Tamandua tetradactyla: one gene and its partners. The protein of the gene in region 3 interacts with the protein of the main gene of each other region in a pairwise test. Links are inferred from orthologs where the notes say so. Each region holds a gene or a part of one and is shown on either strand. Other genes may lie near its edges. The genes, in order: SERTAD1, MEOX2, CIB3 and KLF17.

Region 1 (7,838 bases), on a different chromosome or scaffold from region 3:
TTATGGGGTTGTTATGAGGATTAAATGAGTTAAGACATGGCAGATGCTCAGAACTGTGCCAGATACACAGTACTTACTCAATGCATGTTGGACATTTTTATCTCACCCTCACATTAGCCTAGAGAAATAAACACACAGACATAAGATTTCCCATGACTGGTTTTAATGTCAAAAAAAAAAAAAAAAAACTGATTGAAGCCTCTTCTCACATCAGGGAAGGAATATTCTGGGCTTTGACCCCAAGGGATTCAGCCCAGCACTGGGCCTGATCCAATGAAGTTCCAGCCACCAGGCCCCATCATTCCATCATGAGGGGCAAATCCCAGACTCCTCCACCAGCGCTAAGAGAAGAGGACAGATGTGAACCTGCCCACGGCTGGATTCTGTCTTTCCAAACTTGCCAATGGCTCTCTCTTTGTACCAGAAAAGTCAGCCGAGTCTTTGCAAGGAGAATCGGTCCAGCCACCGGGCTCAATTTTTTATACCAGAGAATCATTCCCAACCCTGAGTGGGGGGTGGCTCAGCGCCCCGGTCCTGGTGGCCGCTCCAGAGCCTGTGTGCCCACCAGCACGTCCATGAGGTAGTCCAGCTCAGCCTCATCCAACTCTGGAGCCTCCTCCTTGTCCGGCCCATCCACAGGGCCGGGTTTCAGGACCTCGGAGGCTGGTGCCCAAAGTTCACTGTCGTACATAGAGGTGTCGATGTCCTCAAAGAGGCCCTCGAGCCCATCGTCCAGCAAACAGCCAGTGGCTGGGCCCAGCAGGTCCAAGGCACCCAGGCCAGGTGGGACCCCCCCATTGGGGCGGCCTGGTGGCCCCTCATCCACCAGGGGTTGGGGTGCCTGGCTCAGGCCCTCAATGTGGCTGAGGTCTTCCAACAGGCTGGACATAGAGGCTGAGAAGGCGGCATCTGAGCTGGCCAGCAGGCTGTCAGCCACACCAGCAGCTGCGGGCGGGCTGGGCACAGGGGGCAGGGCAGCGGCAGGTGCCATGGACGCCTGGATGCGCCTCAGCGTGTTCACCACCAGCACCAAGTGCCGGAGGTCCGGCTCACTCTGCCGTAGGCTGTGGTGGAGTTTGAGCACCGAGAGGTCAAACAGAGAGCTGGAGGCCACAGCTGGGGGTGCCTGTGCCACTGCTGTGTGGCCGGGATCCAGCCACCAGGTGTCAACTGCCAAGGCTTCCTTCTCCACCTCCTCCCGCTTGCGCTTCAGGCCTTTGCTCAGCATTGTCTGTGGGGAGGGAGGGGGTCGTTCAGTAACAGGAAGCAAGCATCAAGAGTATAAACCCCCGGCTGGGCACTGACAACTGCCATCTGTGTGACTCTGGGCAAGTCACTTTACCTCTCTGAGCCTAGGTTTCCTTAGGAAACCTTTAAGTAGGGGTGATATGATAGTATCTTCATCAGAGTTGTTTTAAGGGTTAAATGAGGTAATATACCAAAAAGCAACAGTGCCTGCTATATAGAAAAGTACTATTAGTAATAACTATTACTAATTTCTTCATTCAACTGTGTGAAATGGCCAATATTCAATCTTTTTTTTAACCTACACAAGTGCTGTTTCACATAGTTCAATCTAGTATTTATTGAGTGTCTACTATGTGTCAGACAATAAATTAATAAGCAAATATACAGGAAAATTATTTAGTGCTAGGAAGACACTAAGAGATTCAGGGTCGGGGTTTAAGTAATCAGGGAAGGCTCCTCTGAGGAGTCCAGCAGGAGAAGGGGTCAGCCATGGGAAGGATCAGGGGAAAGTATTCTGGGAAGAGGGAACCACAAGGAAGGCAAAGAAAGACCCGATGCTGCATGAGCCTTGTACCCTAAAAGGTCAGTGTGGTTGACCCACAGAGTGATATGGCAGTAATGAGGTGGGGGCCTTAGGCAGAGGCTGGGTCGCAGAAAGCACCGTAAGGAGTTAGGATTTTGCTGAGTGTGGTGGGAAGGGAGCGGTGCGGTGGACATGCGCGGAGGACCAGGAGAGTGGGGACCCCTGACCTCTAGACCCAACCTGGAATACAAGGGGGTAGTGGGCATGAAAGGAAGTTGGCCGACTCAGGATGTATTGGGGAGGCAGAGTGGACAGGATTTGACAGGAAACGCTGATCGGGTCGGGGGGTCACTGAGAGAAGTTTGAGGACCCACACATACCCTCCGCGAGTTGTGTGTGTGTGTGTGTGGGGGGGGGGGTCCTTGGAATTCTGGAACCCTGGCCCAACCTGCATTTTTGACCCAGGCCAGCAGGCAGGGGCCAGCCCCCAGACCCTTGCCCAGCAGGACCTTAAAAGGGTCCCCCACCCTACTCAAGACTGGGTCCTCTCCCCCTTTCCCGCAGACCCCAGAGTCCGGAACCCCTGGAATGTAGCCCCCACCTCCGACCCCGCCCCTCCAGCGCCCCCTGGCGGCAGCCAGTCCGGCTTTCCCCTGGGGGTTCCGGCTCCTCGGACCCCGGGACCCTTGACACTGTCTCGCCTCCTGGCTTTCATTTCTCCCTGCCGCTCGGGGTCGTGCGGCATCCCCGGCGGGCTGTTCTGCCCTCCCCGCCTCTCGTTCGCTTCCGGAAGGCAGTGGAGGCGGCTCCTCCTGAAGCCGCGGCGGCGGCGGCGGGGGCGGGTGAGTCACGTAGCCGGAGCCAGGGAGCCGGCGCCTCCGCCCCCCTCCCGGGCTGCGGCGTGATTCACCCGGCCCGGCCGGGCGGACCGCACGTAAAGGCCCCGCGAGTCTCGATCCCTGGCAGCTCAGGCGCGCACCTGCCGGACCCGAGGATCAAACCGGCTAAGCGATCCCGCCACCGGTGTCCCTTCGGTCCCCAGGCCCCTTCCCTTCATTTACATACCCAGTTCACCAGCTGCCAATCAGAAGGAAGAGGGAGCCACCCGCGGCCAATCAAGAAGTGGCGGCGGCAGCATTGCTCGCTCGCTTGTCTTCAGCAACCAGCGCCTAGGTCGCGAGACGCAGCTCTGACTTCGGCTCACGACTCCAGACTCCCGACTTCCCTTAGGTCCCGCCCACTCACGTGGAGGCCCCACCCTCCACCTCTCGGATTGGTCCTGGACGGTGGTAGGCGGAGTCTGTAGGGGCAGGTTGGAAGGGAGGGGAGGGTGGCTTCAAGGCGCATGCCTACCTCTGCCCGAGGGAAGGAGAGTTGGCTCTGTACCTCGCCGGACAGTAGCTCGGAGGAAAGCTAGCGTCTCAGTGCAGGTACCTTGCATCTCAGTGCAGGTACCTTGCATCTACCCATGCACCTGCCGAACCCAGCAACTGAGCTTCTTGCCCATCAAGTCCCAACAGGAGTCTGTACTCTAGGTTGGGTGGGTTCAAATTCTAAACTTACTCCAGGCTGACCCTGGAAAAATGCTTGACCTGTCTGAGCCACACGCAGTCTGTCAAATAGGGCTCGTCTTGCCTACCTCTGGAGGGTTGTGAAAACTAAAATAAGATCGTATTGTCCGCTTGGCAAACGGTGAACAATTGGACTCGATTGTGGTTAGAAAGGGAAAGAGGAATGCCACTGGAGTCGCACCTGGGATCGAATCCCCAAGTAACTGTGTGACCTTAAGCAAATGTTTTCATCTCTTGGGGTCTCAGTTTCATCTTTAAAATGAGGAAAAATAAGAGCATCTGGCTCAGAGGATTGTTTTGAGGATTAAATAAAATAATTTGTGTAAAATGTTCAATGCAGACAGCAACGTGTCCTTTCTTTAGGGGACACACGGGGATTGGCTACAGGTAGGCAGGAGTTAAATTCTTGTCCCATAAACTAACAGTGGGACTTACCTTCTTCAGGTAGCTCACTTGCTAATATTTCTGAAACTTTGGGAAGGAATATGTTAGTTCCTATCAATAAAACTCCTGACCAAAGAAAGCACTCAAAAATGTTGCTGACTTTGGTAGTTAATTCAGGCAGGGATTATGAATGGGTGCTGAAACCTTTGGATGAAAAATTGGTAGGGATCTTTTTAAAAAATTTTTTTATTGAGATACTGCATGCAAATACAGTCCGTCCAAAGTATGCAGTCAATGGCCCACGATCTCATCACATAGTTGTGCATTCGTTACCTGATCATTTTTAGAACATTTGCATCATTCCAGAAAAAGAAATTAAAAAAAGAAAATACTCATACATCCTATACCACTTACCCCTTCCTCTCATTGACTACTAATATTGCAATCTACCCTCTTTTTTTTTTTGCCCCTTATCTCCCCCTATTATTTGTTTATTTTTAGTCCTTATTTTTTTATTCATTTGTCCATATCCTGGATAAAGGGAGCATCAGACACAAAGTTTTCACAATCACAAGGTCACATTGTAAAAGATATACAGTTACACAGTTGTCTTCAAGAATCAAGTCTACTGGAATACAGTTTAACAGTTTCAGGTACTTCCCTCCAGCCACTCCAATACATCATAAACTAAAAAGGAATATCTATATAATGCGTAAGAACAACCTCCAGGATAACCTCTTGACACTGTTTGAAATCTCTCAGCCACTGAAAATTATTTTGTCTCATTTCTTTCTTCCCCTTTTTGGTCAAGAAGGCATTCTCAATCCCATGATACGGGGTCCCTGCTCATTCCAGGGAGTCCTGCCCCATGTTGTCAGGGAGATTTACACACCCCAGGAGTTGAGTCCCACGTAGCAGGGAGGGCAGTGAGTTCACCTGCTGAGTTGACTTAGAGAGAGAGGCCATATCTGAGCAATAAAAGATGGGTGACTCTCAGGCACAATTATAAGTAGGTTTAGCTTCTCCTGTGCAGGAATAACTTTCATAGGGGTGAGCCCCAAGATAGAGGGCTCAGCCTGACTTGGCTGTCCCCACTTCTTGCAAGAATATCAGGTATTCTCCAGATGGGGAAGTTTAATATTTTCTCCTTTCTCCCAGTCCCCCAAGGGGACCTTGCAAATACTTTCTAGTCTCTGTCCAAATTACTCTGAGATGTACTGGAGCACTACACAAGGGAACAGAATCTTGATGGGCTCGAAAACATCACTTTACAGGTAATTTGCTAACTGCAAAGGGGAAAATGTCCTTTTATGATGGGGAGCTCTGGTGCTCCCCACCTTAACCAAGTGATGAAATTTTGGATCCCCAATAGCGGTACACACCAACACAGGGAGCCAGCTGATAGGATGCACTAGAAGGTACACACCATCCCCCATGTCTCACTGTTATTTGCATAAATCACATTGCATGAAACCTCTAGACACTACTTCCACCTTATAGGAAAAATTAAATATGAACAGAGACAAATCCAAAATGGGGGACATTCTACAGTACATCTGGGCTGATCAGCACAAAACTCAATGTCAAGAAAACACGAGAAAGGAATGGGGTGGAAATCTTCCAGAATAAATGGCACTATGTAATTTCTTTATTACCATCAAATCTGTATATGAATTGGATCCTCCTGATTTGGAATTTAAAAACACAGTTACTAAAGATATTCTTGGGGAAACTGGAGGAATTTGAATTTGGACTGACTGTTAGAGGTGATATAATAGTATTCTGTTAATTTTCTTAGGTAAGAAATAGTGTTATGATTTGTAGATGAATGTCCTTTCTCTTAAGAATAAGCCTGTTGAGCTGTGGGTAGAAGGCAAGACATCTGCAGTTTACTCTCCAATGGTTCAGCCAAAAGTGTGTGTGTATGTGTGTGTAGAAAGCAAATTGAGCTAAATGTTAGCAATTATTAAATATAGGTGGGAGGGTAGTGAGGTGTTCAGTATACTTTTTTTTTCATCTTTCCTTTCCTATGTGCTTGAAATTTTTCATATTAAAAAAGAGTATAACATACTAATTTAAACCAGGCCCCTACTAGGCAAATTCACATAATTTACCCCCACAATGCATTTTTATGACCTGAAGAAAATGAGACTCGGAGTCTGAAAATGGCTAGCTCTAGGTCATACATGGAAGAAGGACTCATAGGAGTTATTTGATTCACCAGCCTTTGTTGAACACCTAGTAGTCATGGGTTCTGTTGTAGACCATGGGCGTATATCACACATTGTCTCCTCTCATGCATGGGCAAAGGTAGCAAGAGAAAATCAATATGAAAAAAGTACATTCATTTATTCACAAATATTCATGTACTGAGCACCTACTCTGTGCCAGACACAGTTCTAGGCACTGCAGGTATGACAGTGAAATTATAGATAAAAACCCCTAGTGAAAGGAGATGGGCAATAAACTTAAAAAAGAAAGTGTATAGTGCCTTAGAAGGTGATGGTGCAAAGAAAAATAATAAAGCCAAGTGGGAGAAGAGGAATGACAGGGTGTGCAGTTTTAGATATGGTGGCCGCAGGAGGGTCTCTGAAGAGGTGACCTTTGAGCAGAAACCGGATGAAGGAGAATGAGAGGGGCAGCAAAGCTCTAGGGGAAGAGTGTTCCCGGCAGGGGGAGGAACAGGTGCAAAGGGCCTGAGGTGGGAGTGTATAGAGCCTCTGCCCGGCAGAAGGCTTTTGTAGTTGGGCTGTAAGTTGCAGGGGAGGGAGTCAGAGAAATCACCCGGGCTTTTCCGCCACTTGAAGATCCTTTGATTTTTATTTTGAGTGGGAATGAGAAGACCCTGGGAGATTGAATAAATCGGGAGGCTATGTTCCTCTTCTGTTCAGTGACTTGAAGAAAATAAAATGGAATGGGATAATAGGGAGGCCTAAGGAGAGACTCTGTAGCCAGTGCGGTCCGGAAGGGCCTCCCTGAGGAGGTGACATTGAAGCGGCGACCAGAGAGTTGAAGAAGGAGCCAGAAATTCACAGGACTGGGGGAAGGGAGGAGGAGCGGCCGGGCCTTGGGAAACGAAACCTGAAACGAAGCCTTCAGGCCTGGCAGGCCCAAGAGGAGCTTCTGCCAGCTGGTGGGGGTGGGGGTGGGGGGGGGAGGTAAAAAAGTGGGTGGAGGCGCCCCGCCCCCAACCGGCCGACCCGCCCGGCCTCCGGAGTGCGAGGAGGCGCCAGGCGGGGGTTCCCGGCCGCGGCTGCCCCGCGGGTATCCGGCCAGCCGGCCCACGGCGGAAGGGTGGGCAGGTGGGAGGGGCCAGGCCCTTGGCCACGCCCCCAGACGAGCGCGGGCCCATCCCCCACTGCCGGGCGGCTGGCGAGGACAGGTTGGGAGACATGGACTCTGCCCTCAGGGAGCAGGTTCTCTCTGCAGGGCTAGCCTTTCCACTTCCCGCGCCACTGCTTAAACGGGTGCGATATTAGGGAGGGAGCTTGACCTCTCTGAACCTCGGTTTATTTATCTGGAAAGTGGGGGCGCTACTCTTACTGGCCTCAGTGTGACTCTAACAGACTAACGTGATTCCCTTTCATTATCCTTAAGACAGCCCAAAACAGTCTATTAAAGGGTGAATCAGGTCAAGTCCTTCCTCTGCCTAACACCTTCCCATGGCTTCTATCACTCATGGTAAAGCTAAAATCCTCCTACAAGGCCGGATGGGATTTGCCCATCGCCATCCCCCCTCACCCCTCCACTTCCCCCATCTCCACCTCTCTCATCTCACTTCCTGGGGCCCTTCCCCCTTGCTTGTACTATTCCAGCCTCCTCACTGGCCCTCACACTTTCCACTCACTCTGACCACAGGGCCTTTGCACTGGCTGTTTCCTTGCCTGCTTCATTACTCCTGCAGAGATCCACACAGCTCACTCCTCACCTCCTTCAGGTCTTTACTCAAATGTCACTTCATCAGTGAGTTCTTCTCTGGCCATCCCTTCTAAATAGCAATGCCCCATCACCCCCATCACTTTCCTCCTTTATTTTTCTCCACAGCATTTATCACCTTTGGACCAACTGTGTATTTTACTTCTTGAGCCTGTTTCAGTCTCCCCTCACTCCAA
Region 2 (7,216 bases), on a different chromosome or scaffold from region 3:
CCATTCAAGCTATAGTTTATCAATACTTTATGTAAGTTATACAAACTTGTTTCTCCAGTTTTTTAGGTATCAGCTTCAGCACATAAGACTAGGTTTTACTTCGCTATGTGGTTATCTCTTGCCAAAAGGGAATACAATGATGAATTATCTAATTTTCTTAAGAAAGTTGTCAGTTAAATAATTTAATGGAACCATTTTTTAGATCCCATTTTCTCTAATTACCTCAACCAAAATAACATGTGTCTGTAGGAAAACTCAGCTTGACCTAAAAATCTTAGGTTAATACAGCATGCATAAAGAACAATCTATGATACAGGTTTCTCACAGCAGGAAGTAAAATGAACAGTAAAAGCTCCTAGTAATTGCAAAGTATTCTGATCAATCTGAACTGGGATTAGCTTCCCAAAGTTACACTGATACCAAATGGTCCATCTATGAAATGGTCCCTACATACTAAAAGTGGCCTTTTAGTGCAATTTATTCACATACCTTATAATCATCCCAAGTGTAAAATCACTGGTTCATAGTCTCATCATATAGCTATGCATTCATCACCACAACCGATTTTTGAATGTTTTGGATGGCCTTTTCTACTTTTATTCATATTCTTATTTTGGGGGGAAGTAATGAAAACGATAATGAAAAGTGGCCTTTTTTATTCCCTCTGATGATGATGGAAACCTTGTTACGTATTAGGCTTTTAACTCACTGTCTTAATAGAGTTTCACTTAAGGTTAAGAAATCCACTAAAATGAGTGACACTACCAGTAACTTTCTTAGATATAAGCTAAATCGTGAAGGAACATTAAAAGTTCACCCCTGACCTTGGAAAGTAAAAGCCAGATTTTGAGATTATGACCCAAGAACACATCCCATACTAAAGCAGAACAATCGACCCCATCGCTGCAGAGTGTGAAGTACGGGGCTCACTCATTGGCATGGGTGTGGGGGTCGCACCTACAGTTTTATAACCAATTAAAATTTTGCAACACTTCAAACCATTAGCTGTGATTACCTTCTAAGACTATTAAACCGATCCCACAAAGGGAGAAAAATATGCAAGTATTATATTAAACAAATGACAGCTTCGGAAAAGATGGAACTCAAGTTGCATGGCAGCTGCAGAAATACAACTTAGAACCTCCTTTATTGTAAACTCGATTTCAGAAGGATACAGATTGGTAAGAGCTTTTAGGAGAACTTGGCGTTTTTCTGGATTGCTACAATGAACTTGGCAGTTGTACCTTCCAGCATCCGAGTTCAGGAAGGCTCCTTTGCGTGGCTATTCAACACCCGCGCGCAGAAAAGCGCCTTCTGCGCCCATCTGCGCACAGGAGCCCTGGGCCCGCAGGGAGCCAGCACTACCGAGCTGCTGTTCGCCTCCAGTGCCTGCCCTGGATAACACTCAATTTGGGGAGGATTTCTTTTCACTTTCGAAACTCCGCGTCTTCACATTCGCACCACATGAATATGAACTACTATTATTGTCTTTCCTTCAGAGTCTGAACATCTATTTATTTACTTACATATCTGCACATTCCTTAATCTTCTAATTCCTATACTGTTTTCCTTCCCAAGCAAGGGGAAATTTTTGCCATTTGGAATAGGGTGCTATTTAAAGAACTCTGAAATCAGAATTAAGGGGGAAAAAAAACCTTGAACTTTTTTTTCTCATGCGCTCTGCCAAGTTCCATTGCAAGTTCCAAATATTGTGCAATAATTCGGAACTCCAGTTAACGGTGGGAAAAATCGAGCCACTCTGAGTGGGGAACTTGCAAGGGAGAAGTCAAAGGGTGGCACCCACTCGCAGTCTCCAGCAGACGCTGCATCCCGGGGACACTCCCTTTCCCTAGCCCTCCGAAGGAAGGACACGGTTCGCAAATCGATTTCTCACACAGACACTTGTCCTTTTTTTCTCGACCCTCTGGTAAACTAGTTGGGAACCTGAGAGAGCTCAGGGCAGCTGGCTGTCTGCGTACGTTCTGTCCTGGGAGAAACGTGTGCCTTTGGCCCCCTGCCTCCCCGCCTGCTGCTGACACAACCAGAGCAGCCCGGCTGGATTCGGCGGCGGGGACGCCAAGGAAAGACAGGTTGCATCTTTCGGCCGCTCCACTTTAATTGAGAGAAATCTTTGGTGGCGTTTCCCCGCCCCCTTCACAACTGGTGCGCTTACCTGAGCTGTCGCTCTTCCTCTTGCCGCCACTTCTCTTCTCCGCCTCCGCAGGCGACAGCGCCTGGCGGCCGTAGTCTCCCGGCGCGCACGTTGCACCCGTCGGGGTGTTGGAACCCAAACTGGGAGAATTGGAACACAGGACTGGCGGGCTGTTGCCCAGCTCCGGGGGGCCTCCGGAGTCCGGCTGGAGGCACAGGCTGTGCCGAGCCGCGCTCGGGGGCGAGGACATCTGCGGGAGGTGCCAGCTGGTCTGCAGAGCCTGGTGCTGCTGAGGCTGGTGGTGGTGGTGGTGGTGGTGATGGTGGTGGTGGTGGCCCCTGGGATGCTGGCTGGCGAACATGCCCTCCTCGTTGGGGTATCCCGCGATTATGCAAGAGGAGGAAGAAGTGGAGAGCTCGGGGTAGGACATGTGGTCAGATCTTCCATGAAGGGCGAGTGAGGACTGGGAGAACGGGTGCAAGCCTTGCGCCGCGGCGTGAGGGCTGCGCAGGCAGCCGAAGAGCGGGTGTTCCATAGCATGCGCGTCTCGGCTTCCAGGCGGAAGACTTCGCGAAGGTTCCGAACTCCACCAGCCTCTGTCGGTTTTCACTGGAGACAGTGGGGTTTTTTCCCCCCCTCCCAAAGCAATAGCAGCACACGCTTCTGCAGAGCGTGGATAACCCCGGCGCCGAGCCCTAGCGGCCAGCCTTCTCTACGCTTACACGCTTGGACCTGGGGGCGCTTCCCTTCGAACCACTCAGAGGTCTAGAGGAGGAGAGGTTCAGCCAAAAGAAGGTGGTCCCAGAGAACCGCTTTCAGGGGGAAGCGGCTCTGGGAGGTTATAAATAGAGTGTAATGTGAGCTGGGGGCTGGCTCAGGAGCCCGGCGCTGACCACAAGCAAACTCCCTCCAAACCGCTCGCTCAGTCAGCGCGGCGCGCTCGGAGCTCACTTCCTCCCGGGGCTGGGCCCCCGCCGCGCGCTCAGACCCGCCGCCCCGCCGCAGCCCCGACGCTCGGCTGCTCTGCGCTAAGCTCCCGGCGGCAAAGGCGCGTGACGCCAGCCAGCTCCAGGCCAGCACCCAGTGCCCCACTCGCCCAGTTCTCTTTCAGTGTCACGTAGGAACTGTCACCTGCAGGAAAAGCTGGGGAGGGGGGTGGGGCGCCCAGCCTTTGAGGAACACGGAAAGGCCGATAGGGTTGAGGGAAAAGGTGAGCGCTAGTTGGGCTCGTACTCTGAAACTTGAGTTTGCAAAATTTCTCGTGCCCTGCGCCCCGGACGCAACCGCGCCCTCCCCATCGCATCTGGTCCCGCCGGCTGGGTGGCGACGGGCTCCGACGCCGGGGCCGAGGTTGCAGAGGTGCGCCCGGCCGCGAAAGGCTGTCTTCGGTGCCTGCAGGAGAAGGCCTGGGGAAGGTGGAGGAAAGCGTGGGCCCGAGACATTGCAGACACACAGGTCCTGACCTCCTCACCTGCGAGGCCGGGTGGGGCCTCCCTTCTCCCCGCTCCTCGCAAACGCCCACCTCCACCCTGTCCTGGACCCGCTCAATTCCCTAAACCACTTGTCCACCAAAAACTTTTCCCGGGTCGGGATTATTCCGAAGCGCTCACGTCTCGGCCACTTGAGACGTTTTGATTATGTGCACATTTCCAGCCTTTGCCCTCGGGAGCCTGAGCCGCCCAATTCCCCTCTTGCAACCCACCTTCTCATCCTCTCAAAATAAATCAGCTGCTCGCACCCCTCCCTACCCTCCCCCCCCCATTATGGATCCATTTATCGAGAAATATTGCGTTCCAAAACCCCACTTCCCCTTCCCTAAACTTAAGAGCATCAGGTTTTACTGGTTATAATTTTGCATGCCAGAAAACTTGCCACCAGTGAGTACCGGCGAGCGAGGGCTGGACTCGATTTTCCTTCCAAAGAGGGCCAAGTGTTGCCTCTAATACTGCCACTTACATAGGGGACGACCCGGTGTGCTGGGGCCGAGTCTTGCACAAGACAAGCGAGCGGCGCGTCTTGAGCTGCCTGAAGTGCGGGTCCCCTGACACTTGTAGCATCAGGATAGCATCTGCGGTCACATATCTCGCCCGCGGCCTCGAGCGAGCCACTAGCAAAGGCGCCGGGTTATTTTCATTGTCTCAGGTGTCCAGAGGGCGGTGACCAGAACTTTGAAGCTGTTAATGAAATTAATGGGGACAGCAAACTGCTCCAGCCATCTGGTTTGAGTTATGAAAAAGTATTGATTAACCTTTAGCGGTGTCCCCAAGGCAGAACCTTTTCCCTTTTGCAGTCCTTCCAGCTTCAGCCTGACTCCTTTTTCCTTTTAAGTCCTACTACAGTATAGAGGCGTCGCAATAAACTTTAACATCCACGTGAAAGATCGAATTATTTTCCATTGCTTAGGGGTGTGGGGTGGGGGTGATCAGGAATCCTGAGATTTGTAAGCGCTGCTTTCTTTAACGGAAATTGAGCCCTATTTTGAGGGAAATTAGTTTTGCAGACTTGGTTTAAAAAAAAAAAAAGCGAAAACTTTTGTTCACCAGCTGCTCAGCTTTTCAGTCTCCTTCTGAGCTGGACCTGCTGCAAGCGTTTGACGGTAAGACTTCCCTGACCGATATTTCGAGAATCTAACATTGTTTTAGGCTTGGACCGGGGATGTTCTTCAGGTCGCACGTTTCTAAAGGTTTTAAGCACGCGGAAGACGGCGGCCGGGGCTCAGGTCTTAAGACTATTTCTTCTGCCACTCCCTATGTCCTTGGCTCTTTCATAGTAAAAAGAGGGGGTATATTCTTCCAATAACGACGGAATATTTTTTGAGTTTTTATTGTGTTTATTGTTTCAATGTGTGCTCTGATATTAAAAGTTGAAGTACAAAGAGCAACACTAAAACTTCCCAACTCCAGTAGCTTTTCTGTGGGTTCTGGGTGAAAGCATTAAAGACTTTAACGAAAGAGAAATTTATAAAATATAGTGCTGTCTATTAAAAGCATTGTGAAAAATGTCAGAAAAGACTGATTAAAGAAAAACTTGATCAACAACACCAATAATATCATCAATAATGATCCTTTTGGTTTACATTACCGTGGTTTAGAAGGAGCCGAGCAACTGAGAAATGAATGAAATTGAATTTAACCAGTGTGTTGCAGGTGACTAGCAACTAGCAACCACACAGACTTTTCACCTCCAGGAGTTGTCATGTCTCCTTGAACCTGTTGGTGATTGTGCTGGCTTTTTTCTCATTCAAAGTGTCAGATGTTAACAACATGTCCAGAAACATCTCTACACTCTGTCTCAGTCTCTGGAACTGTGCAGTCAGGAGTCTGGAGAGGAAAAATGTTTGAAAGACAAGGAGTCTTTTTTAAAGACACACAACTAAAACAATGCTCATAAGGAATGTCTTTTTATTGAAGACATAAAGCATTCAATGTCAATAAAAATTACAAAGTTCAGATTTCCAATGAAATACATAAGAAAAATTCTATTTGAAAAGTAAGTATGAGTTATAAAAAGGACTAAAATACTAATTACAAAGTATTGATGCATTTAAAAATTATATGACTTTTCTCTGAATTTCTAAATATATGTTATTACATAAAGTTTTTTTTAATCCTCATTTCATAGATTAGTGGGAACAAGATTAATGATTTTTACTTTCTAGGCTATAGAGAATTCTAAGATATTTATAATAATGACAGGAAAAATGTTCCTAGCATTTCCTATATGGCTGTTAAAGGGCCCCTCCATACCTAAAAAAAAAAAAACCCACTGTTGAAAGATGCCTTTTTACCTCTAATGGCTAATATGATCAAAATGGTAAAAATTATTATAAGATTTCTGCAACATTCATTTAAAACTATATATGGGAAAGAATTTATCCTATATTTACCATATATTCAAACATTCCTGAAAAAAGTAAAACAAAAAATATTAAAATTTCATGCAAGATTTTAATATGTTAGCCTGTTGTAAAGAAAATGTGTGTACGGAAAACATAAGCTGCTCAGCTCTTGTAGGAAGCATAATCAAAATGATTTTAAACAGGTACTTCATAGTTGATGTGTGTATATCTATTATGCCCCCTGCTTAAATGAAATGATACTAAATAGTGAAGGCAGAAATATTTTAAAATTAGGACTATTTTATTTTAAGGGATTAGAATGCATATCAAGCAACCTGAAAAATTTAAGTTACAGTTTATTTTATATTCATGGTGACTCCCGTAAGAGTTGTAATTCTTTTATTTGTTTGCAACTTGAGGTATAATGAGAATTAAAATATTTAAAGTAAAAATGATCTCCAGCAACAGGCATTATAAAACTATACTTTGCATTTTACCTGATAGGTAAATGTTTGCTTTTGTAACATATAGTGATGAAATATGAATTTAAGTGTAGCTCATTAAACTGAAACTGGAATTGGTCTCTGAAAGTGTTATTGAAGATAAGAATACTATTTCTGCTATACCTTCCCAAGAAATAACATTTATGGCCTTTAGTTGGTCCTTTTGAAGTAAGGCATTTTGAAAATGCCTTATATTTGACAAATACGTCAAACATCCAGTGGCAATTTATGTGTTTTATGATACACTCTATTTTTCAAAATAAGGAATTGCCTTTCTCTGGGAGTTATGCATTATAAAATTTAACAGAACAATTTTGCTTATGCATGTTGTTTTGTGATTTAATATACTTTTATTCATCAACTTTACATTAGCGATTATTTTTTGCATAACACTAATTGGCACTTTCGCAATAAAATTTCTTACATTTCTGCATATACAAGAAGTGAATATTTAAACATTTTTGAATGGTATAAGATAATATCCAGTTTACTTTGTCTTTTTAGTTTCTATCTCTTCCTACATTTAGATTTAAAATTCTTTCAAAATTGGTGACTTTCCTCAATTCATGTATCAAGTATCTTGTAATAAATGATAGTGTAGTAAGTATTAAATATAACTCTTTTGTCTAAAAGTCAAGTGACAAAAGACAACCTATAAAAATTAGAACTGCTTTAAAAATACTTCAGAAAACCAGCTTTCAATACAGATTAGGATATATAGTT
Region 3 (7,232 bases):
AAAGTATTTACTCTATGCGGAGAGGTGCTGGTCCCTAAGAGCTGGGAGCCTTGGGTACATCCCTGAATCAGACAGAGCCAGGCACAAACACCTCCACTCCCCTGGGTCAGGGCCAAGGTGGAGAGAGAACCCCAGGAATAGAGGAAAGAGGGCTGGGAGTAGCAAACCAGGGAGGAGGCAGGGCCTCCTGGAGGAGGGGGCATGTGCTGGGCTTTGAAGCATGCATAGGAGCTTACCAAGCAGAGGGAGGTACCAGAAGGAAGGGAGCTTAGGGTTAGATCATTTCATACCAAACATTCAGAGAATCCAAGCCAATCTGTGAATCTCTGGATATCAACACAATGTCTGCAAGACTCTGCCTCTAAAGAGCCCCCAGCCTCCCACCTTCCTTCCCTCCTTCCATAACAGGAGGCAAAGTTCTTGTAATGGAGCAGAGCACAGTAAAAAAGCTAATATTCAGGTCTTCCCAAGGGGGCAAATGAAGGCATTTTGCAAAGCACTGAATGACACACTTGCTGCCTAGACTGCGAGGCTAGCTCTCCACTATGATGCCCTCACCTGGTGACGACATACTGTCCCTGGGGAATGCTGAGAGACAGCCTTGTTAGAGACCACCCTTGATAAGTCTGGGGGTTCCCAGGATGCTAGGAATTGTCCCTGAGGGGTGCAGGAGCCCTTGGATTATATGGCAGCTCAGAATTTCAGTCTCAAACACCCAAGCCCCTGCCAGGGTCCCCTCAGGAGACAACTTGAGCTGGGGTTTCTATGTGGCCTGGAGCAGGTCCCTCTCCCCCTCTGAGCCTTTTCAAATCTGTTTGAAAAGCAAGGAGCTTGGGCAGATGAAATGTCCTTGGGGCTCTGGCCAAATGCCCTGAGGCCTGTGGTCAGCTTGACCCTGTCTGAACCTCAGTTTCCCCACTGGTAATCTGATCACGATGGCCAGGGCGACCTGGAAGAGACCTGCAAGCTGTGTCCTGCCCAGACAATGGGGCTGGCTGGCGGATGGTGCACCCATCAATAATGGATGCCCCATGCCCACACAACTGGGACCTTGGCGCCAATCACTCTGCAGACAAAGCCCTGCCAAGCTTGGGTTTCACAGCTCCAAGTTCATGGGTCAGGACATCTGGACAATGGCCACCTCCCTGAACCCCTCGCCTTGGTGCCAACGCCACCACCAAGACCAGCTCTGGGCGGTCCCACCTGAGCCCCCAGCCTCCAGCCTCAGCACCCCCACCCCGCACCCCCAGCCTTTGCACACCAGCCTCAGGGAGGTCATTCTAGCTCCCCAACCCCAACCATCCCTCTCCCCAGTGCTCACACACCCGCTGTGGCTCCCCTCTGCCCTGGGAGACATCCACGCTCGTCCGCCTGGAAGCCGTGACAAGGGGACAAGATGCAACTTCCCAGCCTCCCCGCAGCTGCCACCACCCACTGCCCAGGGCTGCGACCCAAACCCCCCGTTGGCAGCTGAGCCTTGGGGTGCATTCAGCGGGTCTTCCCCAACAATGAACAGTAAGTGGTCCCCAGGCCTCCCCTCCCTGCCTCCCGGGACTGACCGCATGATCTCCTTCCGCGTGAAGAACGTGCAGTCCTGCGGAGAGATTTGGGGGCTGGGACCCAGTTCTGCTCCTGGTTCCTTCCTCCCGACCCCCCGCCGCCCACACCCCCCATCACGGACTGGACACCCATGCTGGAGGGAGGCTGTCACCGCCTCTCAGGCCCGGCCACCCGGCGGGCCTGTCGCCCCTACCTGGTACGCCTCGAGCTGCTCGTGGGTGAAGACGGTTTGCTTGTTGCCCATGCCGAGACCCGGGAATGAGCCCTGGGGACCACCGGGCTGCAAGGCTGTGGCTCACGAGGGTGTGAGCAAATGTCTGTGACCTGGCTGTCACCTGCCCACCCAACCTGTCACCCCCAGCCTGGGCGAGACTCAAGTTACAGCCCAGCTCCCTGGCGACAGCGTGACGGAGCCCACGGCCACCGGGCGAGGGGGGGTGGGGCCCAGGGAGCAGCCTTGGATGGGGAGACCGCCTCCATGGCCACCGGGGCACCTGGGCAGGGGGCGCTTTCAGGCAGGGTGGCCGGTGACGCTGCAGCCACAGCCTGATTCGAATTCCAGCGCTCTGCATCCTTAGCTGTGTAGCTTTGGGCAAGTTGCCTAACCTCTCTGAGTCCCATTCGGAAGATGGAAATTATACTAGTGTCTACCTCATAGGGCCGTATTGAGGATAATGAGATCATTAACGCAGCCACAAAAAGTATTCATTGCCCATTGCCTGTGAGCCAGTTCTAAGCATTGGGGGACACAAGCCAGGAAAGGTCCCTGTGGTGTGCATTGGTCATTTATTTTTAAATTATTATAAGTGTTCTGTTCTAACTTGAGAAAAGTAATCCAAGGTCTAAATTAGAAAAACAGTGAGTTTAATAACGTCAGAGATCTTTGCAGCAGGACTTGTCAGAGCCTTTAATGGACAAATGCGCAGGTGCATTCTTAAAGGATAGATGCAATGTAGCAGCTACCTACCTTATGAATATCTGGAATCCTCTTGGGCAGAGTATCTGGGGCAGGAGGCAGGTCTAATGTCCTCGGCCTGGCTGTCATGTCCTCAGAAGTTTCTCGAACCTTGTCGGCTTTCTGTGCCCCTCATCTCCTCAGTCTTTTCCTGCTCCCCAAACTGCTCTTGGGTCTTTCCCCCAGCCCTCATGTCCTTGGCCTGGACCTCTGCGGTTCTTCCTCATCAACCATCGTCTACCCAAGCGTGTGACGTCATCTCTAATGTGGCTCCAATCAGGTTTTAAAAGACCCCCTTGGAATGAAAAAAAGGGGTGGGGGCAAAAGCGAGTGCTGGCGACGATGAGCAGCCAGTGGAGCTCTTGTCCACTGCTGGTGGGAATGCCAAAGGGCTCAGGCCCCCTGCGAGGCGAATTGGAAGTTTCTTACAGATTTAGATGTGCCCCTACCAAGTGCCTCAGCACAGGAGAAGATATTTGCAAAGGATGAGCCTGATAAAGGGCTAGTATCCAGAATACATAAAGAACTCTTACAGTGCGACAATAAAAAGACAAATACAGTGACAAATGGGGCAAGGACATAGGTTACCAGAGGACCAGATAGGGTGAAGGAAGGGGCTGTTGAGGCTTAAAATGTACCTGATTCTTAATTGGAATGTTGGAAGTGTCTGTTAATTGGTAGTGGTGATGGTAATACGACAGTGTGAGTGCAATTAACATTACTGAAGTATACACCTGAATGTGATCTAAAGGGGAAATGTGAGATTGCATGTGTACTGATAGAACAAAAACTAAAAAAAAAACCTGCACTGCACAGAGAACCCTAAGTTAAACCATGGACTTTAAATAACAGTGCAACCATAAAAATGCGCTGTCGTCATTTGTAACAAAAGTTCTACACCGATGCAAGGTGATGGTGGTGAAGTGACATATGGGAGTCTTGTATTTTATGCATGATTATTCCATAAATCCAGAATTTCTCTGATAAAGAAGATGAAATGTAAAAAAAATTGATGAAGGATTGGATTTTTTTCTAAAGATATATAAATGGCCGATAAGCCCACGGAAAGATGCTCAACATAATTAATTATTAGGGAATTGAAAATCAAAACTACAATGAGCAACTGCTTCACACCCACTGGAATGGCTAAAACTAAAAAGACAGATAATACAAGTGTTGGTGAGGATGTGGAGAAATCGCAAACCTCATACATTGCTGGTGGGGTTGCAAATAGGGCAGCTGCTTTGAAAAACAGTCTGGCAGTTCCTCAATGGGTTAAACCCCTAGTTACCATATGACCCAGCAATTCCACTCCTAAATAACTACCCAAGAAAAACAAAAACATGTGTCCGCACAAAAACCTGGACGTGAATTCCACAGAAGCACTTTTATAATAGCTAAAAAGTGGAAACAACTCAAATGTTCACCAATTGTTGGACAGAGAAACAAAATGTGATCCATCTATATAATGGGGTATTATTCAGCCATAAAAAGGAATGAAGTTCTGCTATTACATTCTCTCATCTGGGAAACCCCAGTACCTTCTCAACCATCGGGGGCTCCTGAGAATATAGACCAAGCCCTGGATTTGGGGGCTTGCCCTTAGGAGAGTCATTTCCGTACTGGAGAAGGTAGGACTACCTACAATGAGGCCTAAGAGTTGCTTCCAGGAAGGAAGCCTCTTTGTTGCTCAGATGTGGCCTCTCTCTCTAAGCCCAGTTCTGCCAGGAAAATCATTGCCCTTCCCCCTACGTGGGACATGACATCCAGAGGTGAAAGTCTCCTGACAACATAAGGCATGACTCTGGGAATGAGTCTGGCCCTGACACCATGGGATCAACAGTGCCTTCCTGACAAAAAAGGGAAAAGAAGTGTAATCAAACAAGGCATCAGTGGCCAAGAGGGCTCAAATAGAGTCAACAGGCTGCTCTGGAGGCTGCTGTTACGTGGTTTCAGTTAGATAGCGCTGATTGCCATGGTTTGCTAAACCCCAACCAACATCACTCCTGTTGTCTCTTAAGAATACCTGGGGCTCAAAGTAAGACTCTATAAGTTTCATGCACTAAGTTGCTTTCTCGAAACCCATTAAAGGCACAGAAGGTAGGTTCGTTGGGGTGACATTTTAGTAGCAACCTCAAGGAATAAAGCACAGGGGAGGGAGTTTCTGGCAGAGGGAACAGCAGATGCAAAGGCCCTGGGGCTGGTTCTCAGGCAATTAAAATGTCTTAGATATTTCAACGGTTTATGGCCCTCCAAAACTCAACCTTATTCATGAGCATTCAACTTCTTTTTTGGAATTAAATGAAATGATAACTTTTCCTTAAGGGGAGGGTGCGGTGATAATGAATTAACAGTGGCGCATCTGACAGCAAATGACCTCGTGTTGTGTGAAAGCAGTGTGACAGTGAAGGCTGTGTGATATGGTAAGAGCCAGTCATTGAGGACGATCTGTGTATCCATTCCAGGCCAGCTAAGGGCTCTATTCCAGCTCTCCTTCACTCAGGGATCCCGGCAGCTCTATCAGAAATACTGCTCGTCATGGTGGCACAAGGACAGGAGACCTGGCCTCCCTCGGTTGCCTCTTTAAGCTTCTGCCTGGAAGTCAGATGGGGCACTTCCTCCCACATGGCCTCGGCCGAGCTCGGCAGGGCAGGGACGTGGGATGTGGGAACCCCTCCCACGTGTGCTGCTAGCAGTCAGATTTCATTGAAATGTTATTCTGCATCTGCACTGCATTGTACTTTTTCAAGACTGGTCCGCAGGGTGGCCTGTCCGGGTTTTAAACCTCTGCTGGCTAAGTGTCAGAAGCTACAGTTTTATTGTAGCTCTCTATGCCTCGGTTTCCCCATCTATACAGTCAGAATAGGGTGGCCATGAGAATAGATGAGATCATCCATACAAATATTTAGCCGTTGTGTTTGTTGTTGTTGCTGTTATAATCATCCCCATTTTATAGAAGAAGAAAGGGAAACTCAGAGAGGTCAAGCAACTTCCTCCAGGACACACAGCATCAGAAGTGCAAGAGATGTCTCTCCACTCTCAGGCCTAATCCCTGGAGCCGGGCTGCTGGGTGCTGGGGGAGAGTTTTCCCCAGCTGAGTCCGTCCTGTCTCTCTCGGAACTAGTTGATTCTGGTCCGTGGACAACACTCTCAGTAAGCTGTCACAGGTAAGGTCGCCTCTCTTTTAAAATGAAAGTACTGCAGCTGCCATCTCCTGATACCAGGAAGCCCATTCTTTCTTCTCGAGGGATTCCTCGGCCAGCTCGAATGCCGGAGGGTATGCCTATGAGGGCTGGCTGATCGCTTGCTGTCTCCTGCCGGTAGGACTGGGGACAGCAGCTACTGTGCTGTCTCTGTTCTGATTCCCTACATCTGGGGATGCCTGCTCCTCCTCCTTAAGCCTCCTGACCCCCACAAAAGATGCACACAAAACTGTCTCTGGCACATTTGGGGCAACAGCTCCAAATCAAAATGCACAAACGTATATATCCTGCACCTAGCAATGCCACAGAGTCAGCCCACTCGCGAAAGTTGGACAAGATTTGTGGGTGTGAAATGGCCTTCATTTGGGGTGGGGTTCGCTCAGCTGGAGGACAAACGCACCTCGGAAGGAGGTGAAGCTGACGCGCATCTCCCGCTTTGCATTGAGCTACAAGACATTTTGTTGTGTGAAAAGATGAGGGCAGAGATAAAAAGGGCATCACACAGATAAATAACGGTGTATATACACTTTTGTGTTGAAAAGAATGATTGTGAAATCATTCACCATTTTGTGAGGAGCAGAAAGTAGGTTTTCCCTTTTCTTTTCTTCCTTTTGACCCTTTCTGTACTGTTTGGTTTTCTTACATGTGGCCGTGAACATGTATTTATCAGGGATTATGAAAGATTTTTCCTGGTTTTTAACCAGGGCTGGGTGGGAGTGGGGGATGCTTAACTGGTACAGAATTTCTGTTCGGGGAGAGGAAAAAGTTTTAGTAATGGATGGTGGTGATGATAACACAACATGTGAACATAATCAACACCATCAAAGTGTAGGCGTACATGAACATGGTTAAAAGGAGAAAGTTTAGGTTGTATATATTTTACTAGAATTAAAAAAATGTTAAGAAACAACATAGTACTCTACAACATAAACAGTGAACCTTAATGTAAACTATGGGCTGTAGCAAATAGTACAATATTAATAATATTCTTTCATCAATTGTAACAAAGTGGAATTTGTTACACTAATACAAACTGTTAATAAATACAAACTATAATAAATGTCCACTAATACAAACTGTTAATAAATACCAATCAAAAGCAATGGGTTCTCCGGGGAGAAATTCAATTTCCCCCAAGTTGAATTCTTGATATTCTCACAAGCAGTGTGGACAACCAAAGCTATAGGCTGAGCCCCCAGTCTTGGGGTTTATTCACATGAAACTTAACCCCACAAAGGTTAGGTCAAGTCTACTTAAAATTCAGGCATAAGAGTCACCCCCAAGAGAACCTCTTTTGTTGCTCAGATGTGGTCTCTCTCTCCAGCCAACACAACAAGCAATCTCACCACCCTCCCCTGTCTTCGTGGGACATGACTCCAGGGGTGTGGACCTTCCTGGCAACGTGGGACAGAAACCCTAGAATGAGCTGAGACCCAGCATCAAGGGATTGAGAAAATCTTCTCGACCAAAAGGGGGAAGAGTGAAAGGAGACAGTGTCAATGGCTGAGAGATTC
Region 4 (6,908 bases), on a different chromosome or scaffold from region 3:
TAGTAGGGGAGGAAGCATATAGAGGAACACTGAAAGGAGCTTAGAGGTGCTGACACTTCTATTTCTTGGACTGAGCAGTAGTTTCACAGGTTTTTACTTTATAATAATTCATAAAATTGTACATTTATATTCACTTTCCTGAGTGTTATTTTTCACGATAAAATAGTTTAAAAATAAGTCTCGATGGTGTGAAAAATCAAGATTTTCAGCATACATCAGAAAAATCACAGAAGTAAAACCTGCTAAATTTAAATTGGAAATATCCTATATAAATTCCTAATTTAAGAAAAAATACATATTTTCTAGCTATGTCAATCGAAATAGCCAATAGAAGCAATTATCATTCCAATGGAATCCCGAGTGTCCAGATTTTGTTCTCTAACTTCATCTCTCACTAAAAGGAACAACGATCCTTGGAGAATTTCCTGACTCTGAGACAAGATTGGGATAAATAAGCTCAGTATATCTTGTCATACCAGAAAATAAGGACACTTTCAAAGATGATTAGGTTGTGTCAAAAGGATACAGGAGCTGGCTTGAAAGAGTTCTCACTGACCAAATTTGTGAGAATTTGAGCATCAAAAATGTTGATCTATAAAAATCCATGAGCCTAAAGTGACAGAAGTCCAGTTCTTTTCCAAAAGCCAAACCTAGTTTCACCAAATGTGAGAAGCCAGATGTGCGTCCATATGTAATGTGAAATGAAGCCTGCCATGCCTTTCTTAAAGAAAAAAAAATCTTAAATCCAGCTAAACTTTTAGGCCAAATTCCTATTTAGAAGTGAAATGGGATTAAAAGATCAAGATAACTGATACCATATGACAAATCCAAAAGAGAAACATTCTACAAGTTCAGGGTCATGAAAAATGCAAAGTCAGAGTCATGAAAAAAATCTATTCTCATTTAAAAAAGATCCAGAGATGTAAGAACCAAATCCAACGCCTCATCTTGGATTAGATCCTGATTTTGGCATAGTGGCTGTAAGGAAATTTTAGGACTACTAGGGAAATTTGAATAAGGACTATTCATTAAATAAGATGATTTAAAAAACTATAGTTAATTTTGATAGGTTTGATAATGTCATTTTGACAGTGTAAGAAAATGTTCTCTTTCTTTTTTAACCCCAAAAAAGGTTGGAGAGACCCTATGGTATTCATCACTATAGTCTCAGCAACTAACATTAGGTCAGGCATAGAACAGGAATCAGATGAATGCCTACCGGATGGGAGTATTTTGGGTGCTCAGCCTCTTCCTTACCTCTCACCAGTGGCCTTTATTTTTTTACCCCATCCTTCACAGGTAAACTCCTGAGAGTTGTCTGAACACAGCACTTTTACCACTACCTCACCTCATTGTTCCTGCATTGTTTCTCCACCCCCCAAATCTCCATAGAATCAACGTTCATAAAACATCAAGGCCACTAATGACCTCGATGTCACTAAATCAAAGGGATACATTCAGGCTTGACCTCTCAGGAGCTTCTAAGACTGTTGGTCACACTCTTCCTGAAATGTGTATTTCCCTTGATTTTGCCAACACTACATTTGACATACTATCCTTGTCTCCTTCCTATCTGACCTCTTCCTTTTTAGTCTCCTTTGGAGGTTTCTCTTACTCCTCTCTCTCTGGCCAGTCTTTTCCATACCAATAAATCCATTTCTGTTTATATTCCAGTTATTCCTAAATCTACAACTTCAGTCCAGACCTCTCCCACTCAGGTCCATTTAGATATCCAACAAGCATTTTAAATGGTCTTTGTCTGAAACTCATGATCATCTTTAATTCACACACAAATAAACATTAACTTTTTTCCTTTTTATCCTTTGCTCTTTCAGGAGCTACACCACCATTTTCACCCAACGGTACAAGCCAGAAACCTGGTCAGTTATCTTGGCTGCCTACGTCATCACCTGGATTCAATTAATGACTAATTCTTGTGGGAGACTAGTTCCCAAACATCTCTAGACTCGATTCAGTTTTCTCTACCTCCACTCTCACCTCCCCAGTTAGACCACCATTTTAATTTTGACCTGGATTTTCACAATAGCTTTCTAACTATTACCTTGCATCCTGCCCTTACCCCCAGGGTACTCTTTAATAAATGCAAATCTAATTGTGACTGCTCATACTTAAACTCATCAGTGATTTCCTACTACTCTTGGAATAACAACCAAATTAAGCACTGCGGGTCCTTGACCTCAGTGGCATCTGAGGCCCCTGCCTCCCTTCCCCTTGGATCACTCTACCAATATTATCTCAGCCTTGGTCTCAGTCTTATCTTTCAATTCCTCCAAGAATTTCTGGTCTCATGGCCTGGAAACCATCACCTGCCCAGTTCTTCAATTTCAGACCAAATGTCAGATACCTTCTCTAACCCACACAATTGCATCAAACATCTCTGTTATTTTCCCCATGGACATTGTACTTCCCCTTCATAGTAGTTTGTGCATTTCCAACCATTGAGTTAAGTATTTATTATAAAATGATATAATATCTTGTCTTACAATAAATTCACTACTGTAGTCCCAGTGCCTGGTAAAGGCCTGGCACTTAGTAGGCTTTCAATAGATGTTTAATTATATTTTTCTCCCTACCCACTTCCAGCTGTCTTCAATTTCCTGTCCTGCCTCTCACGTTTCCTGGAAACTTTGACCCGCAGCACCCAGCACAGACTAATACTCAGCAAATATTAAGTAATTAAATAAATGACATGTTATTTATATACCCGATCTGCCATTCCTGCCTTCCTAACCCCCTCCCTTGAGTTTCTAATCCCCTAGATTTCTGATTCTCTCTCCTGGCTCCGTGTCCCACCCTGGCCTGGAGCTGAAGCCCCGACTCACCACCACGGGCTGGCACTGGGCCACCTCCTGCCACTGGCTCAGCTCTACGGCCTCTTGCTCCATCTCAGCCTCGGATCGGCTACACATCGGGACCGTACGCTGGTCCAGACCCACTTCAGACCAGAGCTGGGGACCACCGCCTTAGCAACGCAACTCAGGTCTCCAGGCACTACCACGCCACAATCCTTGCGCTCAGCGTTTAGTTCCCGTAGTTCCAGGGGGCGGAGTCAAGGATCCACGCGCCCCTCCCCCGCCACCCGTCACACCCAATAGCAGCCCATCCCACCTTTCCTGCTCCAGCCTACCAGAAAATAGGTAGGGTCACCGACAGGTTACCTCAGAGTTACCACTTCTTAAAGTCTTTATGCCTGCCCTGCCCTCGTTACCCCATCCATCCGTCAATATGAGCGTCAATATGAGCATCTCTACTTGCCCAAGTGGGGACCTGGGATCCCGAGGTTTCAGATTCTGGTCAGGTCTCCATGAGTTCCAAGTAGGGGAATGAGGGAAGAAGGCTGGAGAGGGTCTCAGGGTCAGACGTGGGGCCCCTGGAGACCGGAGACCTCCCATCTCCACTTCCACCAGACCAGGACTCTTGGCCTACGTTCCAGAAGATGCAGGTCTTTTCTAGTGCGGCCGGGACACCTCTATCTGTCCTATGCCTGTCCAACCTGAAGACCAGGGCATAATTTTTTTATTCCACAGATAAAGAGTGGAATGCCTTTATTCCTGCTATGGACCAGATACCGTTTTTAAGAACTAGAGATACAATGACAAACAAGACTGAACAAGTCCTTGCTCTCAAGGAAATTTCCATCCTAAAGGGGCAGACAAGAAATGAATAATAAAGTCAATAATTCAAATAATTTCAGATGGTGTTGAGCAACAGAAAAAAAAAAAAAAGAAATAAAATGTGACTGAGAACTAAATGCCAAAAGGGAAGATCGCAGAACTCTGAGGCAAGAAAGAGCTTGACATTTTGGAAAATAGGAAAGCCATGTGACAACAGAGATGGGAGCAAGAGAAAGTGTGTTATAAAATAGGGACAGACAGATAGGGAGAAACAGAAGAGTGTAGGGCCTTGGAGACCATGGAAAGTAGTTTGAATTTTATTCTGTGTGATGCAAAACTACTAAAGGATTTTCAGCAGGAAATTGACATGATCTGATTTAGGTTTTTAAAGTAATCCTTTGACTCTTTTGAGGCTTATAATTAAGATGGGGAGATGAAAGCAGGGACACCAGTTAGAAAGCTAAAGGAGTACTCCAAGAAACAGATGTCAGTGTTTTGGTGGTAAGTAAAAGTAGTGAATAGAGAATAGTTTGGAATTAAAAAGAGCAGGACTTGTTAATGTATCAGAAAAGGGCAGGGAGGAAAAGAAGAATCAAAGATGACTCCTGGATTATTGATTTGGGCAATTGGATACCATTTGGTGACATAGAAAGATAGGAAGAGGAGCAGATTTGGAGGCAGTGGGACAAGAATTTCCTTTTAGACATGTTGATTTTGAGTTTTCTATTGAAACTGCTCAGGAAGAGGTCAGAGCTGTAAATGTAGGTGTTATCAGCTTAGAAATAGTTGTTATAAGGCCTTTGGAGTGGATAATATCAAGTAGGGAGATAATTAGAGGAAGAATTGAGAACAGAACCTCAGGCTCTCTGCCCTTAAGGCCTAACAGAAGGGCGAGGTCATCTGAAGAGACCAAGTAGGAATAAACAAAGAGGTAAGGGTAAACAAGGAGACTCTATTTCAAGAAAAGCCAAGAGCAAACAAGTATTTAATGAAGAGACTGTTCAATTGCATCGAATATTGCTGAGATAAGTGTTGGATTTGGCAAGGTGGCAGTCATTAGTGATCTTGACAGAAACAGTGATGGTGAGGATAGAAGTGATGGTGGGGGTTGAGAAGTGAACAGTAGATGATGAGGTAGAGATGTTGAAACATGGTAGACAACTCTTTCAAAGAAGTTTTGCTATGAATGAGAAAAGAGAAATGAGGTGGCATTTGGAAGGGAAGGCATGGTATAAATTGAGAGGTATCTTCCAATAAGGGAGAATCATTTTTTAATTGATATTTCTTTAATTTTTTTAATTTTTTATTTTATTTTTTTAAATACCAAAAACACATAACAAACTCAAACATTCCTATTTTGATCATTCTGTTCTACATATATAATCAGTAATTCACAATATCATCACATAGTTGCATATTTGTCATCATGATCATTTCTTGGAACATTTGCATCTATTCAGAAAAAGAAATAAAACAAAAACAGAAAAAAAAATTTATACATACCATACCCCTTACCCCTCCCTTTCATTGATCACTAGCATTTCAAGTTAATTTTATTTTAACATTTGTTCCCCCATTATTTATTTTTATTCCATATGTTCTACTCATCTGTTGACAAGGTAGATAAAAGGAGCATCAGACACAAGGTTTTCACAATCACACGGTCACATTGTGAAAGCTATATCATTATTCAATCATCGTCAAGAAATTGGAACACAGCTCTACACTTTCAGGCATTTCCCTCCAGCCTCTCCATTACATCTTGAATAACAAGGTGATATCTACTTAATGCATAAGAATAACCTCCAGGATAACCTCTGGACTCTGATTGGAATCTCTCAGCCATTGACACTTTGTCTCATTTCAATCTTCCCCCTTTTTGTCGAGAAGGTTTTCTCAATCCCTTGATGCTGAGTCTCAACTCATTCTAGGGTTTTTCTCAATCCCTTGATTCTGAGTCTCAGTTCAGAGAATCTGATTGTAACACATAAATAAGGCTTCATTGTAGGAGCAAAGTCCTTGGTACGTTAAGAGGGGGTTAGACCCAGGAAATGGACAGGTGAATCTTTGCTGAGAGCAAGGACACTTGCTTTATCACAGCAGGTAGAATAGCAAGCATCTATTTTATACATGTGGGAACCGATGCTGAGGCTCAGAGAAAAACAGCCCATCAAATCCTATGAAACATAATCCCCCAAACCATATGTTTAGTGTCTCCAGAACTTGCTTCTCTGCCTGGAGCATCCTTCCAAATCCACATTTTGTTTCCCCAATATGACTAACTCCTACCTGCCTTCTAGATTTAAGTTCCAGAATCACTTTCTATTAGAAGCCTTCCCTAATACCCAGGCTGGGCAAAGTACCTCCTTCATACTTCCACATCTCTGAATATCAACTAATTGTGTTGTGGCTGATGATGTGGTCATTATTTATTTGCTTAACAGTCTTCCTTTTCTGCCTTCCCTCTCTCACTCTAAGCCCCTCCACACACACCCCCATATGTTTGGCCTTTCTCTTTTCAGTGCTACTCAAGTGTGGTCCATGGATGATGCCAGTCTAGAAACTTTAACAGTCTGTGATAAGATAAATACAAAATTGAGAGAAGCATGTAGAAACTTTTATAACAATTTTATAGTAACTTTATGTTTATTGAATCTAATAATGAAAAAAATGGAGCTTATATTCTCTATGTCCTTTTCATTTTATTTTTCTAGTAATTTATTTTTATTTTATTTTGCAAAAGACTTGGTCCATAACGGTTTGGAAGGAAAAAAGAACAAAAAAAAATCCTTCAGCACAGGTAGTTTGAGAAACACTGTTTGATCTTTGATTCCCTAGAACCCACGACAGGTTCTGGTACAGTCATTGAGTAAACATAAGATGAACAAGTAATGTGAATGCAGTTGACAAATGTGAGTGACTCTAAGGCAAAAGAATAGACAGAATTTGGTGTTGCACTGGATTAATGTGATGGGAGAGAAGAGGTCAAGGAAAACTCCCAGATGTTTAACTTAAGTTCCTGGGAGGTTGTTGGTACTGCTCTGTGAGATAGAGAATATCAGAAGAGGAGCAGATTCAGGGCATGTTTACAGCTGATGAAATCATTTTCGAACAGGTTGACTTTGAGAATGGACTGCAGGAATGCACTGGGCAGGTTTAGGAAATGCTGGAGAAAACTGAATAAGACAGTAGTGAAGATGGATGGTGGACCAAGGTGGAGATGAGGTTAGAAAAGGGAAAAACAGATTTTGAAGACACAGGCCTGGACGTGAT

Evidence for each region.
Region 1: the proteins of CIB3 (region 3) and SERTAD1 interact in binary tests that used the Homo sapiens proteins (3 or more experiments, as listed by UniProt). The two-hybrid records come from large-scale screens. The link is inferred for Tamandua tetradactyla from reciprocal best matches to the Homo sapiens genes CIB3 and SERTAD1.
Region 2: the proteins of CIB3 (region 3) and MEOX2 interact in binary tests that used the Homo sapiens proteins (3 or more experiments, as listed by UniProt). The two-hybrid records come from large-scale screens. The link is inferred for Tamandua tetradactyla from reciprocal best matches to the Homo sapiens genes CIB3 and MEOX2.
Region 4: the proteins of CIB3 (region 3) and KLF17 interact in binary tests that used the Homo sapiens proteins (3 or more experiments, as listed by UniProt). The two-hybrid records come from large-scale screens. The link is inferred for Tamandua tetradactyla from reciprocal best matches to the Homo sapiens genes CIB3 and KLF17.

The regions. Positions count from the first base shown.
Region 1 is NC_135342.1:23,657,765-23,665,602, reverse strand, and holds the start of SERTAD1 (SERTA domain-containing protein 1), read right to left. Parts: upstream 3,003-7,838; 5' UTR 2,837-3,002; intron 1,232-2,836; 5' UTR 1,229-1,231; coding exon 521-1,228; 3' UTR 1-520. UniProt on the Homo sapiens protein: Acts at E2F-responsive promoters as coregulator to integrate signals provided by PHD- and/or bromodomain-containing transcription factors. Stimulates E2F1/TFDP1 transcriptional activity.
Region 2 is NC_135327.1:108,683,758-108,690,973, reverse strand, and holds the start of MEOX2 (homeobox protein MOX-2), read right to left. Parts: upstream 3,023-7,216; 5' UTR 2,688-3,022; coding exon 2,174-2,687; intron 1-2,173. UniProt on the Homo sapiens protein: Mesodermal transcription factor that plays a key role in somitogenesis and somitogenesis and limb muscle differentiation. Required during limb development for normal appendicular muscle formation and for the normal regulation of myogenic genes.
Region 3 is NC_135337.1:94,809,403-94,816,634, forward strand, and holds the start of CIB3 (calcium and integrin-binding family member 3), read right to left. Parts: upstream 3,020-7,232; 5' UTR 2,606-3,019; coding exon 2,528-2,605; intron 1,595-2,527; coding exon 1,560-1,594; intron 1,372-1,559; exon of another isoform or gene 1,358-1,371; coding exon of another isoform or gene 1,326-1,357; intron 1-1,325. UniProt on the Homo sapiens protein: Acts a an auxiliary subunit of the sensory mechanoelectrical transduction (MET) channel in hair cells. Plays a role in regulating hair cell MET channel localization and function.
Region 4 is NC_135328.1:179,820,198-179,827,105, forward strand, and holds the start of KLF17 (Krueppel-like factor 17), read right to left. Parts: upstream 3,005-6,908; 5' UTR 2,931-3,004; coding exon 2,844-2,930; intron 1-2,843. UniProt on the Homo sapiens protein: Transcription repressor that binds to the promoter of target genes and prevents their expression. Acts as a negative regulator of epithelial-mesenchymal transition and metastasis in breast cancer.